2 linked regions of the Nothobranchius furzeri genome follow. The protein of the gene in region 1 purifies or fractionates together with the protein of each later gene. This does not show direct contact. Links are inferred from orthologs where the notes say so. Each region holds a gene or a part of one and is shown on either strand. Other genes may lie near its edges. The genes, in order: ccne2 and cdk2.

What was found.
Region 2: the proteins of ccne2 (region 1) and cdk2 purify together in Homo sapiens (affinity purification with mass spectrometry; 10 studies listed by BioGRID and IntAct, counting the BioPlex papers as one, with this or other methods). This does not show direct contact. The link is inferred for Nothobranchius furzeri from reciprocal best matches to the Homo sapiens genes CCNE2 and CDK2.

The regions. Positions count from the first base shown.
Region 1 is NC_091745.1:67,772,357-67,778,555, forward strand, and holds part of ccne2 (G1/S-specific cyclin-E2), read left to right. Parts: 5' UTR 1-898; intron 899-2,370; 5' UTR 2,371-2,395; coding exon 2,396-2,409; intron 2,410-2,658; coding exon 2,659-2,740; intron 2,741-2,826; coding exon 2,827-2,880; intron 2,881-3,313; coding exon 3,314-3,456; intron 3,457-3,748; coding exon 3,749-3,884; intron 3,885-3,958; coding exon 3,959-4,105; intron 4,106-4,186; coding exon 4,187-4,282; intron 4,283-4,351; coding exon 4,352-4,486; intron 4,487-4,567; coding exon 4,568-4,679; intron 4,680-4,801; coding exon 4,802-4,959; intron 4,960-5,068; coding exon 5,069-5,179; 3' UTR 5,180-6,199. UniProt on the Homo sapiens protein: Essential for the control of the cell cycle at the late G1 and early S phase.
Region 2 is NC_091743.1:49,086,005-49,093,603, forward strand, and holds the start of cdk2 (cyclin-dependent kinase 2), read right to left. Parts: upstream 5,149-7,599; 5' UTR 5,007-5,148; coding exon 4,891-5,006; intron 1,746-4,890; coding exon 1,668-1,745; intron 1,585-1,667; coding exon 1,464-1,584; intron 1,371-1,463; coding exon 1,200-1,370; intron 1,116-1,199; coding exon 1,014-1,115; intron 924-1,013; coding exon 720-923; intron 626-719; coding exon 521-625; 3' UTR 1-520. UniProt on the Homo sapiens protein: Serine/threonine-protein kinase involved in the control of the cell cycle; essential for meiosis, but dispensable for mitosis. Phosphorylates CABLES1, CTNNB1, CDK2AP2, ERCC6, NBN, USP37, p53/TP53, NPM1, CDK7, RB1, BRCA2, MYC, NPAT, EZH2.

The sequences.
Region 1 (6,199 bases):
TAGTTGGCAAATTTTTAATATATCATATTTAATATTATTTTCCAATTTTATTGTGGTTTCTATGTTTAATGCTTTGTCTCTGTTATTTAGACCATTTAGGGATTTTTTTCTAGCTCTATAAGTAATTGTTTTATTTTGAGCTATTATTTTGTATCTTGTTACTATGGTAATTTAAAATTCACATTTGGCACGTTTGTTGTGAAGAGAGAATTTTGAATGTGTTTATTATTATCAGATAAAGTATTTAATTCAGAAATGTAATAGTCATCATTCCGTTCATTATAGCAAAAACTATGATAAAAGCTTTAAACAGCTGTTTTTCGGTTTGACAGTACACCCACGTGCTCACTCTGTTTACGTTTTTGAAAGCAGCACGCGGTTGTCGCTGCTCGCGCGCTCATTGGATTGACGTCACGGGAAATCCGCCCATAGGCGGGACCCGTACGCGGAAGCAGTTTCAATTTCGTTTAAAAAACGAAGTATAACTTCGCGAAATAACAAGATCTGCGTATTGGACCAACTCTAAAGCATTCTTGTACGTGTTTCGCGTCGTTAAAATTTAACCGCGAAGTACGGAAACAGTTATATGCTTCATAAAATGTTACAGCGATTATGTGGCCGTTACAAATGAATGCAGACTTTAGGAAAACACGGCAAATAACTCTTCGAAAAGTGTCTAAGGCTTAGAATACGTTACCGTAAAACAGAGCAGGGTCATTCTGCCCGGTTTGAGCTCCTTTCTGTTGACCTTCTGTCAAATCACCGGTCAGATTTGAACATTTAGCGCGTTTGTGTTAACCGGGAACAAGCATGCGCACTGGCGCCCTTGTCTTTATGCGGATATAAGGATTGGCGCCGGCGCCACAGCTGATGCAGTCATTCATTCTTCACTGAAGAGGTAAGATCACCGAGCTGGAGCTGACAGCTGACCTGATCAGAGTAGCTATTTTAACTATTTTATACTGTTGTAATCCGCTCTTGGGTTGTCTACTTTAGGGGTTTATGCTGTAATGTGTCTTTATCCAAGTGGAGTTTTGTAAAAACAACTTTAAATCAGAGATGGAAAATAGCATGCAGAATAATAACAATTCTTACTTTTATTCATCAAACGAAAACTGCATTATCACTGTATACTGCTGTACCTCGGTTTGAGTGGTTTGCATATTTATCCTCAGTTAAAGTTTGGGGAAACTAGTTTGTACAAACATTAGGTTTTAACTAAGTTTTCGTCGTCTTATCTGCTTTGTCAGCCGTTTCCCTAGACCTTGCTGGTATTCAGATGTTTGTGTGCTGAAGCTAAAGATGACCAGTTTATCTGCATGTTGGGGACAGTCGGTTATTATTGACCTAGTTAGCTGAAACCGGGCTTAGTTCGCTAATTACAGTAGCTACCCACCACATTGTTGCCGCGACTTTAACCGACTTTATTGGCGTTAAACGGGCTCTAAAACAAGCCCCTGTTAAGTATGTGGTAGTAAAGAGGCTATACTAGCAGTTTAAACCAGTTTAAAGGTTAAAACTAGTCGTGTATACTAGTTTTCCCTCGCAGACGTTGGGCAGGTACCGAGAGGCTGGGCTGAAATCCTCCCGCTTCTACGTTGTGGAAATTGGCGCGTGTTTGAGTTTCAATCCTCAAAAAGACTTAAAAATACCAACATTTTGACCACCAAAACTAGTCTAAACAGACAAAAAGACGTGTGCCTCGTGGATGAAGTCGATAAACTTTAGTTAAAATGTCTTATTTTTGAACTTTTTTTGTCTAAAGTCGAGAGACTAATCAGCCCCCCTTCTTCTGGGCTCTAGTCGGCTCCATACTAGCTTACAGAACTTTCTGGGCAAATTTCGACTCTTTATTATTAATTTTAATCACTTTTTCTTATCGGTTGTGATCCGCGGACGTGTAGAAATGTCCCACCTGGTCAAGCTGGTTGAGTTTGCAGCCTAGTTTTGGTTTTATCGGGTGACTTCGTGCCTCTCTTGTGGCGGTCACAAGCTAACGCTACATCTGCTGCGACAAGCTAGTCCGTTCATAAATCAGTTTCTAAGCTGATCCTGGGGATTCATACCTCTGTGGTTACTGTGACATTTGGGTGGCATCACTGGGTATTTATAGAGGACACTTAATATATTATTATAACCGTATATATACATAATAATGGGATATATTCTACAGCATGTATTGGAGCCATTTTGGGTCTGCTTGTGAACCCTCATTTCATATTGATCATTTTGAGGGGAACCAGAGAATGGCCTCTTCACTTAGTCATTAGGTGTTAGATCAAGTTTGTAAGAACAGTCTCCCAAATCTGTCCTAATACATGTTTAATTGTATGATTAATCACCAAAATCATCTTTTTTTTCTATTTGCAGGGGAGCAAAAACTAAAGTCAGCACCATGTCCAGACGCAGGTATGCGAGTGTACAACAGTTGTGTAACACTTTACTGGTGACATAGTTTGACACATTTATTTGATTGTACTTAAAATAATTTAACAGAATTTACATGTGAGCTGGTGATTATTAAATCTTTTCTAGCCCAAACATCCTACAATATGCAATTATGTTCTGTAGCATTTCCTTTTTCTATCAAAATTGATTTTATTGTGGTTAGAGGATGCTTATTGTGTGTTAGTAATAATAATTGATATTTGTGTTCAGTGGTCGTATCACTCTTCAAGCCAGAGATTCAAACACACCTGAGCCAACAGTCAGAATCCCACTAAAGAAAAGAAAGACAGAGGTTTGTTTTATTTTTAGTTTGTGTTTGTTTCTTTAGTCGTGACATCATGTTGTAGCAGTTTGACAATTACCCCTTTTCCCCCACAGCTCTCAAAGAAGAATCTCCAACCTGCTGCCAAGAAGCAAAGCTATGAAATACAGGTGTGTGTGTGTTCGTGTGTGTGATAAGTACTCTAGTACATACTATGTATTTTGATGGCCCACCCTTCTATTTAATAAGTCAGTTTTAATGTTTATTTTTAATAAACTTATACTTTATTACAATGTTTCTAATTATAAGATTTCCATTTTGAAGGTTTAAAAAAAAATGTTTTACTACTCGGATATGGTCAGTCTAAAGAGATGCACTTGAGGATTATCATAAGTTATGTAGTACCGATTTGTCAACAGTAGGTGTCGCTGTTTATGTAGAGTAAAAGCCTATTTTCAGAAAACTACTTAAGTTTTATGCAAACTATTTTGAATATTCCTATATCTGGTTAAAAAACAACTCCAAATATTATTTTATAGAACATATCAATAACATTTTTATTTGAGACTTTATTTTAAGTTCATTTTGTTTCTGTTCTCCTAGAAGTGCTGGTTGGAGGATGGTGCGAGTCCATGTGTCCTCATTGAAACGCCTCACAAAGAGCTGGAGCCTTCAGACCCGTCTAGTTTCAAACAGTACCGATTCAAGAACCTCTTCATCAAGGCCTCCCCTATCCCCTGCCTCAGGTAAGACCAGATTTTACACGTCAATGACGCCATCATGCCTTTTCACTCCACGGTGAAATGGTCCTTTGTCCCCTGGCTGACACTCCGCCCACACATGCATTCAAAGTTTACAGCTTTTGTTTACTTAATAGTTTAGCAGAATGTGTGATTTGATCAAGTTTCAGTGTTTCCCCTCTCGGCAGGCGAGTCGTGGGTTGTGTAATGTGTTTAGGTTTTGCCTCTGGACCAGTGAGCTGAAGCAAGTCTCCACATTTAGGTCGGCACATGTTAATAACGAGCTTTTGTGTCGCAGCTGGGCAAGTTCCGACGATGTGTGGATTAAAATGCTGAATAAGGAGCTGAAGTACATTCATGACAAGAGTTACCTGCAGCGACACCCCAAACTGCAGCCCAAGATGAGGGCGATCCTGTTGGACTGGCTTCTAGAGGTGAGTCGTGGAGCTGGGCTGAATACAGCGTTACTCTGATGTCGTCTTGAGTGCCGTTTTGTTTCTCCGTGCAGGTGAGTGAGGTGTACAGCCTCCACAGACAGACGGCGTACTTGGCTCAGGACTACTTTGATCGCTACATGCTGACTCAGGAGAACGTCAGCAAAGACCTCCTGCAACTCATCGGCATCACAGCTCTGTTCATCGCCTCCAAGATCGAGGTGAGTCCCACCTTTGTGCACTTTTAGTTCCAACTGTTACTTTAATACTGAATTAATATAAGTTTTGTTTTTCTTTTCCAGGAAATCTATCCCCCGAAGATCTACGAGTTTGCCTACGTCACAGACGGAGCGTGTGACATGTGGGACATCCAGCGCACAGAGCTGCAGATATTGAAGGTGCGTGATTCGTTCTCACCTGTGTGTTTGGTAACAGTCGTTCTGGTGTTGACTGGATTGTAATCTCAGACGTTAGACTGGAACTTGTGCCCGGAGACCCCCATCTCCTGGTTGAAGTTGTACGCTCAAGTAGAAGCTCAAAAAGATGGTGAGAACTTCCTGGAGCCTCAGTTCTGTCAGGAGACCTACATCCAGATCACGCAGGTACGTTCAGCGCTCTAACTAGTTTTTTTTTTTTTTTAAGGGTTTGTGAAGTCATTTGTGCTGATTGTTGTTTTATTACAGCTGCTGGATTTGTGTATGATGGACATCAGCTCGTTGGACTACAGCTACAGTGTTCTCGCTGCCGCCGCCTTCTGCCACTTCTCTTCGTTTGACATTGTTCATAAAGTCTCAGGTGAGTACTTAAGCTTTTAAAAAGCTTCATTCAGTGACTCGTCTTTCCTGTTTCACCAGTCCTTTATGTCTGTTGGCTTGTTCAGATAAGAGGTTAAACTTGTATTAATGATTATTCTGCAGGCCTGACTTTGGACAGCGTGGTTTCTTGTTATCGGTGGATGAGTCCCTTCATGGAGACGCTGCGTTCTGAAGCCAAGCCTCAACTCAAGAACTTCTCTAAAGTCAAATCTGACGATCGACACAACATCCAGACACACGTGGCCTATCTGGAGCTGCTGGTGAGAAAAACTTTTGTTTATATAAATGATGTAAAGTTTGCATCATTTAAACGTGTGTGTGTGTGTGTGTGTGTGTGTGTGTAATTCAAACTTTTTTTTTTTCATGCAGAGAAAAGTCCAAGAGCATCAGGCTGACACTTCAGAATGTCAGTGGTCACCTGTTGCCGTGGCAACAGTCCTAACTCCACCCAGCAGCGCAGAGAAATTTGCCAATCCCTGATGTGACGACGACCACCGTCAGGACGAGCTACCTCCCTGAAGCGACTGCCTATTCGCTGATCAGAAAAGTTTTTGTTTTTATGTTTTCGTAACACTAAGCTCTGATTTCTGACCAGACGGAGTAGTTTTCAGCTAATTGCTGCGTCAGGAAATCTGGTGTTTTCCTAGAAACCTCTCGGATCTCCAGAGCAACTCGGATGATATTTTTGATTTTCATGAAGTATTATTGCGGTCTGAATCAGCCGCGGCGGTCTAGATAGACTTGAAACTGGCTGCTGTCAGACCGAGACGCGGCGGTGAAGCTGGTGGGTTTTGTGCCTGTGAGAATTTACTGGTGCTTCTCTTATGCTGGGGCATGATGCTTCCAGATAGTGCTTCAGGAAATTGGGGGGGAGCCTGATTTAGTGTTTTTAAAACTTAAAATCCATCTTAAACGGGTGGAAATGGAAGCGTAATGTTTTTTCTTTTTACCTGAACTATACTCAGGCATGTTTCCTGTGTATCACCACCGAGTTAATAGACTTGCAAAGCATTTCATATCTACAGGAGCCACAGGTGTGTTTAAATTTTTTTAAATTTTATTTTACCTGATCTGCTTGTGGCTGAATTCCATTTAATATTTTATTTTATTGTGTGTAACCGTGTTTAGAACTTGGTTGCAGCTTTTGTTCGTTACATTCCTGGGAAACTTGACAACTGCAGATTTTTACGCTTCCTTTTTAAGAGCTTGTATTTATTGATGAGCCTTAGTGTGTGTAAAGAAAGAAAGTGTGAAGTCGTTCTGACCGATCGCTCGCTGCCAAAGGCAAAGGGCTATTTATGATTTAGCTCCGTAACACCTGTTGCAATTCTGCATTAAATGTTGTATATTTGTATTTAGTGCCTTCCGTCTGTCGAGGGGAAACAAATAAACTGTACATGAATTTAATTTAAGCTGCAGCAAGCTGAAAGGTGGAAATTAAAACCTTGTGGCTGTAAACTTATGTAGTGAACCAACTGAGCTGTATATAAATGTGAATGA
Region 2 (7,599 bases), on another chromosome or scaffold:
TTTTGGGACCAAACGCTGCTTGAACCTGGAGGATAATCGTACTAATTTTAACTTCTTTAAGCACCAACCATGTAATATCCCCCCATTTTTCCCCTGGTTGCAGCTCAGTTTAACATCGTTTATAATTTACACGATCCCACAAATTTGATCAAATGAAATTCTAATCCAGACATTTTGGATGATGGCATCCACATGCGAACATACCATTTAAATTAAAGAATTCAGTGAAAGGCACTGATGTGTCTCTCCGACGTGAACTCATAGATAATCACAAGAAACAGATCAAATATAGCACTTGCACATAAATATGCAAAATATAATTAGAAATTACAGTTAAACACTTCAAACTTTGATAACATCAGAGTTGGAACTTCCAGGAAAACCAGCTTCTTGAACGCGGCTGAAGAATCATAACGTATCCTGTAGTGTGCATCCCAGGCACAGAACTGAAGCAAGGCATGGTGGTCCTTATTGCTAATGAGATTATTGGCATTTAAAACAGCCTGCTAATTTGCACAGATTAAAGTCTCAGGTGAGGAACTGGCATGGTGACGTCCCGGAAGAATCGATGCACCAGTGCATTTTTGGCAGAAATCCTTTTGTTTGGGTCGTAGTTCAGCATTTCCTAAAAGATAGAGTCAAAACAAAGTAAAAAAAATGACTGGTATTACCATCTGTAAGATGTACAGCAGAATGAGGGAAATTATTTCGGTTCTTACTCCTAGAAGTTCCCTTCCATCCTCATCAAGGAGAGGAACCACTTTAGACAAATCCTGTCGAGCCCACTTGGGGAAAGATGGTTTGTAGTCTGGCATGGATGTGACTCCAGGCCAAACGGTCTCATCAGGCGTTCCCAAGGTTCGAAAGATTCGGAACAACTGGTCTATCTCAGAGTCGCCGGGGAATAAAGCCCTCCTGGTGATCTGTGGACACAGGTGTACTAGTTAGATGTCAACAACACTCCACATCACACAAACGCTGTTTATTTTGATTTATGAGGCTGTGTTTATCACCATTTCAGCAAAGATGCACCCCAGACTCCAGATGTCAACAGCTGTGGAATAGTATTTGCAGCCCAGGAGGATTTCTGGTGCTCTGTACCAAAGTGTTACCACCTGGAAATTCAGAAAAGTGGTTTTGTACAAGAAGCTAAAAGAATAAACTAAGCTGTCCTGATAAAACCCACTTAGACAGCTTACCTCATGTGTGTATGTTCGTACGGGTACCCCAAAGGCTCTCGCCAGGCCAAAGTCAGCCAGCTTGATCTCACCTTGGGCGTTGATGAGCAGGTTTTGAGGCTTCAGGTCTCGATGAAGAACTCTGTGGGAGTGACAGAAGGCCAGGCCTTGCAGCAACTGGAAGAGATAACTCTAAAAGAACAACAAAAGTAAGATCAGATCTAATTTGCACAGAAGATTCAATCCTAACATTTTGAGGACTGACAGTCACAAAGTGATGACTACCTTGACCAAAGGCAGCGGGATTCCTGTGACTGAGGAGGAATCCATGAACTTTTTCAGATCCTGATGAAGGAACTCAAAAACAAGGTAAAGTTTGTTCTCCGTATGGATGACGTCCTGGAGTCTAATAAAAAAACAAAAACAAATGATGACAGTTGGCAACGGTTCAGACGTGCTCTGGCCGTGGCTCAAACACTAAGAACTTACTTGACAATATTTGAGTGACTGAGTTCTTTGAGGAGTGAAATTTCCCGGATGGCCGTGCTTGGTACGCCTTCTGTTTCTCTGCATTAGGGACAAACAAACCAGAGCTTTACACCAAAACAAATAATGACCAGCAAGCAGGCATTGCTGAATACAGTAGTGATGCACCGATATGAAATTTTGGGCCGATGCTGATATTAAAATCGCTGTTATGACCGATAACCGATATTTGCCTAGACTGTTATACTGACATTAATCTGTCTAAAATCAACAGATTTTGTATAGAATGAAAATTATTAAAGCTGAATTTACCGTATTATGTACACACACAACACACACATGCTTCTGAGATGATTTCATTCACTGTCACATGACTAAACAAATACACATCACCCCCTCACCCTCTGAAACAGATAAACAAATGGAGACAAGATTGAAAAAATATCGGTTGTTCATATCGGCCCACTTTTATTTATCAGGCCGATACCAATATGTTAAAAAATGACTAACATTGGCCAATACCGATATTGATGCTGATATATTGTCCATCCCTAGAATACGGTCATTCCCTTTAACAAGGATTATACAGTGCTGCAAAAACATATACTCCCTTACACATTTATTGTTTTAGGCATTCATTTATGAATTTATTCTACAAATTGCCATATCAGACACCGATGATGAGTAAAACGCAAAATGCTTTTCATGTCACGCAGCTGCTCTCCTCATATCCCAAATGGTCCCGATGGTTGTTGTCACTGCTTCTGCTGCATGCTCGCGTTCATTTTCGCTTTTGTTTTCGTCCTAACGGCTCACGCCATATTGTCTTTTTATTGTTTTTATAGATGGTGTTGGATACGTCTGTACGGGGAGTTAACCGAGGTTAACAGTCAAACCGGTTAATCCCTGCAACCCTAACCTCGAACGGATTAAATTATGGCGTACTTTGACGGAATAAAAATTTTAAAGGTGCATTATGTAGAAATGAAGTCAAAATTTTATCCTGTGCTTTTTGCCGGCAGTTGTCAAATTACAACTGTCGGCGCTGCGGTATTAGCTTGCAGTAGATATGGCACCCCCTCACTCACTGATGGTAAACAGTAGTTACGACCCTCCTTTTGTTTTGAATGGAGAAAAAGTGGCAATCCCCACAACCAGCTGGATATGAAATATGTTTCAGTGTAACCTTTCTTCCAAAATGACTGAAACATTAGACTCTTTTGGGACTTTCTCACTGTAAAATTCTTACTATATTCTTACACTTTTAAAATGTTTTAATTGTCTATGGACGCGCTGATCAGTGACGTCACTCATTGCAAACATGCTGATGATATGCTGACGTATTTGCAAAGTCCTGAAAAGGCTGATTTTGTACAGACACAACGGCTGAAAACACTGATCCATTGTGTTTTCCTGGAACTTCAATAGTGGAAACATGGCTATCGAGTACGCTAAATGATCCCACACAGCAGCAGATGGTGCCTTTGCTAGTTTAAGGTCAAATTCAACAATAAGAAAGAGATGAGACAAAAAAGCCTCTATGGGACAGTTCCGTAAAACATCTCTGGTGACCACACAAAGACCCATCTCACCGTCTCCAAAGAGCATCTTGATGATATTTTAGAAAGTGGAACACTTGTTTAATCAATGCATTTTTGTAGTAGTCTCTAGTACTAATAAATGACGAGTAAGTTGTTTGCAGGGGGAAGAAATATCCCAGTGCACCATTCTTCTGACCTAAAATTTGCCCACATCACAGCAGACCTTCTGATGGCAGGATTTGGAGTCTTTTTCCTGATATTTGGACATCTCACTCCGGATCGGACAACAGCAATGCAACTCGACCACTGATTTGCAACATAGACATTTTATCTCCACAAATAACACAAGGCTGGAGGAACTTCGGCTGTGTGGTGGCATTGCTAATGCTAAAGGTTAGCTTGAATTAGCTGAGAAGTTCTCTGCTGTTTCCTGGACACTAGAACAAAAAATTTACTGGACACTAATCCAACAACACCCAAGATGGGTGAGTCCATGAATGTTATTCAGTGTGACGTAGATCTGTCAGGCTTTTCTAATTCTAGTTTCACCGTCTATTTTCTATCAGAAGCTAATGCAGGAGAAAGGTGTGGGAGACTATTTTCATGTTCAGTCTGCATGAAAAACTCAGTAACCATAATCAGGAAAAACATATTTAAAATGGTTTTTCAGTCAACAGCATCTTTGAGACTTTTTTGAAAATATTCTCTGGAGTGGTGAGACTATTTTGGTGAAAAACTAACTTCAGAAACACATCAATATACCAACAGTCAGACACGGTGGTGGCAGAGTGATGGTCTGGGGCTGCTTCAGGACCTTGACCACTTACTGTAATTGATGGAACCATGACTTCAAACATGTCAACCCACTCGTTTGGCTGGAATAAAACAATGTCAAAAAAATGTGGTCTAGGAATCCTTCACAGCAATGTAAGCCTTGTTATTAGTTCTCACAGATGCTTGATGGATGTTTATGCAGCTAAGGGTGTTGATTGGTTGTTTGTTTCCTTAATAAATAAATTAAATCATCATTTGAAAACTGCTTTCTGTTTTTACTTTGATCATCTCTGGTATTTGTGTTGGAAGACATCGATAAGGATCCAAATGCTTTTTTCAGAGTGCTGAAGTTTGGGTATGTTGGTAGTTTGACAGCTTGAGATACTGAAAGGTACCCTCCTACAGCAGCAAAACTATAAAACATGTCCATTCAACTAATAAATCAACCAAAGGAATGAAACAGAATAGCATTCAATGTAGAGTCAGAAAACTACTTCTGATCACTCACTAGTAACATCTGATCGTAGACTAAAACACAAGACAATGAAAAATTCCCTTAAATAGTTACATATTTCACTTGCTCAGACGCTTTTACCCAAAGCGACTTGCAAAAAATTGTAAGTCGCTTTGGGTAAAAGCGTCTGCTAAGCACATAAGCATAAACATAAACAAACATATCCAGCTAACCTACAGGGTTATATCCAAGGATGCTACGTCACTTAGTCCTGTGTGGAGGTTATATTAGGCACTGAATAATTACAGTTTAACGAGAAACGCTTATTTCTGTTGTTGCAGGAAGTGGGCAGACGATCACCAGCCACGAGGTCGTGGATAAAAAAAAAATCTGAAGCATTAGTGGATGTTTTTAGCGCGGCGTTAGCTCTGGAGATAACTCCTGCCTCTTAACTTACGTGTCCAGGCGGATTTTCTTCAGAGCAACAGTTTCTCCGGTCACTTTATTCTTGGCTTTGTACACCACTCCATACGTCCCTTCTCCTATCTTCTCCACTTTCTGAAATGAGTCCATTTTGCTTACAAGAGCGGGACTGTTTAAAGTTTAGCTGCTTAGCAATACTGGTCTCTTTGTGTGCGCGCTAGCAGCAGCAGCGACAGCGGCTCGGTGGCTACAGAGGGGCGATGTTAAGGAGCAACGCGGGGACAAACCGACACTAACCGCCGCCCCGGCTCCCTTCGGCCAGTCCGGAAACAGCCGAGCGGGAGATAGGGGGTTCGTGTAGAAGATGAAACGCTCTCAGATCAAACGACAACACAAAAACAGGTATATGGGCATGTGTGCCCAGCCTCGATAGTAATTATGTGGATTAATTCAAAAGGGGAGCGCGACGGTCGCAGCTCAGTCCACAAAACTGAACCAACACAGCGGCGTTTCCCGCGTTGTAAGAGGAGCGTTCGTTTTTGACTTCATGATACACCGATTATTTCGAATGGGTGGCACTGTACTCTTTATTTTATTGCTTATCTTGCAGTGTTCTCACAGGGGACCGCTATGAATGAATCCAACGCTTTAGATTAGATAAAAATGTTCACAAAAGTACTTCTGGTGTTTGTTAAATTTAACGTGTTGTTAGAAATCACCAGAAGTTGGGATGAGACGGAGACACTAAATGAGCAGCCCTCACTGGTCACATGATCAAAATGGATGACGTACCCTGACGTCATCTTAGAGGGATGTGGAGTGCTTTTGTTTGTAAAAAATGTGTTTATAAAATTATTTTCTTGTCAATTAGATCTAATTTCACAAACATTAATTCCATTTTAGCCTACCATCATATAAGTTTAAAGTTGCCATTGTTAGTTTTTTAAACATTTAATTAATTTCTTTACCTTAGAACAGGAGTCCTCAACCAAGTTTGGTCCTGAGGTTTTTACAGTAGACGGGCCAGATGCACTCTAAAATAACTAAAAGCATTATTGTATCTTAATTTATCAATAATTTAAATGACTTTGTTTTCCACCTAAACTGTCTTCATTGTAGTTTTAGTTGTGGTTGGAGAATGTAAACAATTATTGGGGGGGGGGGGGGGGGGGGGGGGGGGGGCAAAGAATTGGGACTACAGCCCTGCACAGGCCTAAAATCTGAGCCCGTGTCCGCCCGGCCCGAGGGGGTGGAGCCCCAGCCCAAACCAGTCCGAAAAAGTTTTCAGGATTCTCTGGCCCAACCCGAGCCCGAGGCCGACTTTTTTTCTTTAACCTTTCATGATGTTTTAGCGTGATAGAAGGCTCAGCATTCTAATTATCTGTGGGAAGCGTTCCGTAGTAAAAAAAAAAAAAAAAAAAAAGAAAGGAAAGAAAGAAAAACAGCATTCAATGCAGCTTTTTTTTCTAACAGCGTATTTTTCGAGCAGCAGATGAAATTTACGAACACTATATTAATTGGATGCGTTTGTAAATTTTATCTGCTCTGAAAATGCGCTCTTGTGCAATTAGGAAAAAAAAAGCAGCATTCTAATTTTCTAACTGCAGAGCACATTTTCAGAAACACCCCCAATTAATATAGCGTTTGTAAATTTAATCTGCCACTCTGAAAATGCGCTCTCCAACCCAGTAGTGAATGCTGTATTTTTTTTTTACTGCAGAGCGAATTTATTAACAGAAAAATAGAATGCTGCCATTTTCATGAGAATAAACGAATGGTTTTTGACATATCAAAGTGGACATAAAATGGCATATTAGAATAGGGGCACATGTTTCAATCAGTAGTTTGAGAATTTGTTTATATAGGCACATTTATAAACCACACAGACCTTAACAGAGCTAATGGGTGCCAGTGCGTGAGAAGCAGGCAGGTGCTGCTGCGTTTAAGTATTTCAGTTTTTTTTAATGAATTCACTTAAAAATAAAGGCACCCGGCCCGGCCCGTGTCCGAGGTAATTACACAGTCGTTGGCCCGAAGCCCGGCCCTCGGGCCGTCGGGCCGGGCCGACCCGAGGGCCCACGGCTTCAGTGCAGGGCTCTACTTGGGACCCAGGTGGAAAGGTCTGGTGGTCCGAATGTGGCCCACGAGCCTCCAGTTGAGGTTCACTGCCTTAGAGGCTAATTTTTTTGCCTTTACAAAACCTGAAATTTATATTTAAAGATTAAACAAACTAACCGATTCTTAACATGAGATGAAACTGTTATTTATTTATTTCAACATTTTCTTTTTTGCACTTCATTAATAATGGCCTAATGACTTTTAAACATTTTGTTCACCTATTTATATATTGTCTTTTTTTCTCCCTATTGTTCAAAACTTTTTTGTACCTGTGTATGTTTGATGCACTGAAACAACACAAAAATCTATGAATGAGAAGAAAGAAAAAGGTAAACATACCTTACATTATTGTTACTTTCTTCCACATTCTCATAGCTTTTTCAGTCAATCAAACTTTATTCCAGACAAAAACAATGTGTCCAAGTCATAAGACACCAAAGATAAAAAAGTGGAGGTTAAAAATGGTTTAACAAAGACATATAAAAAAAAGAAATTTTTCTCAAAATATGACTTCATTGTTTTTTCAGAACATTTGATAAGGACATTAAATTGCTTTTGATCCTTTTGTGTGTAATGTGGTAAATGTATATGGTAATCTTGTGCAGTGACAGAACAAAATAGAGTT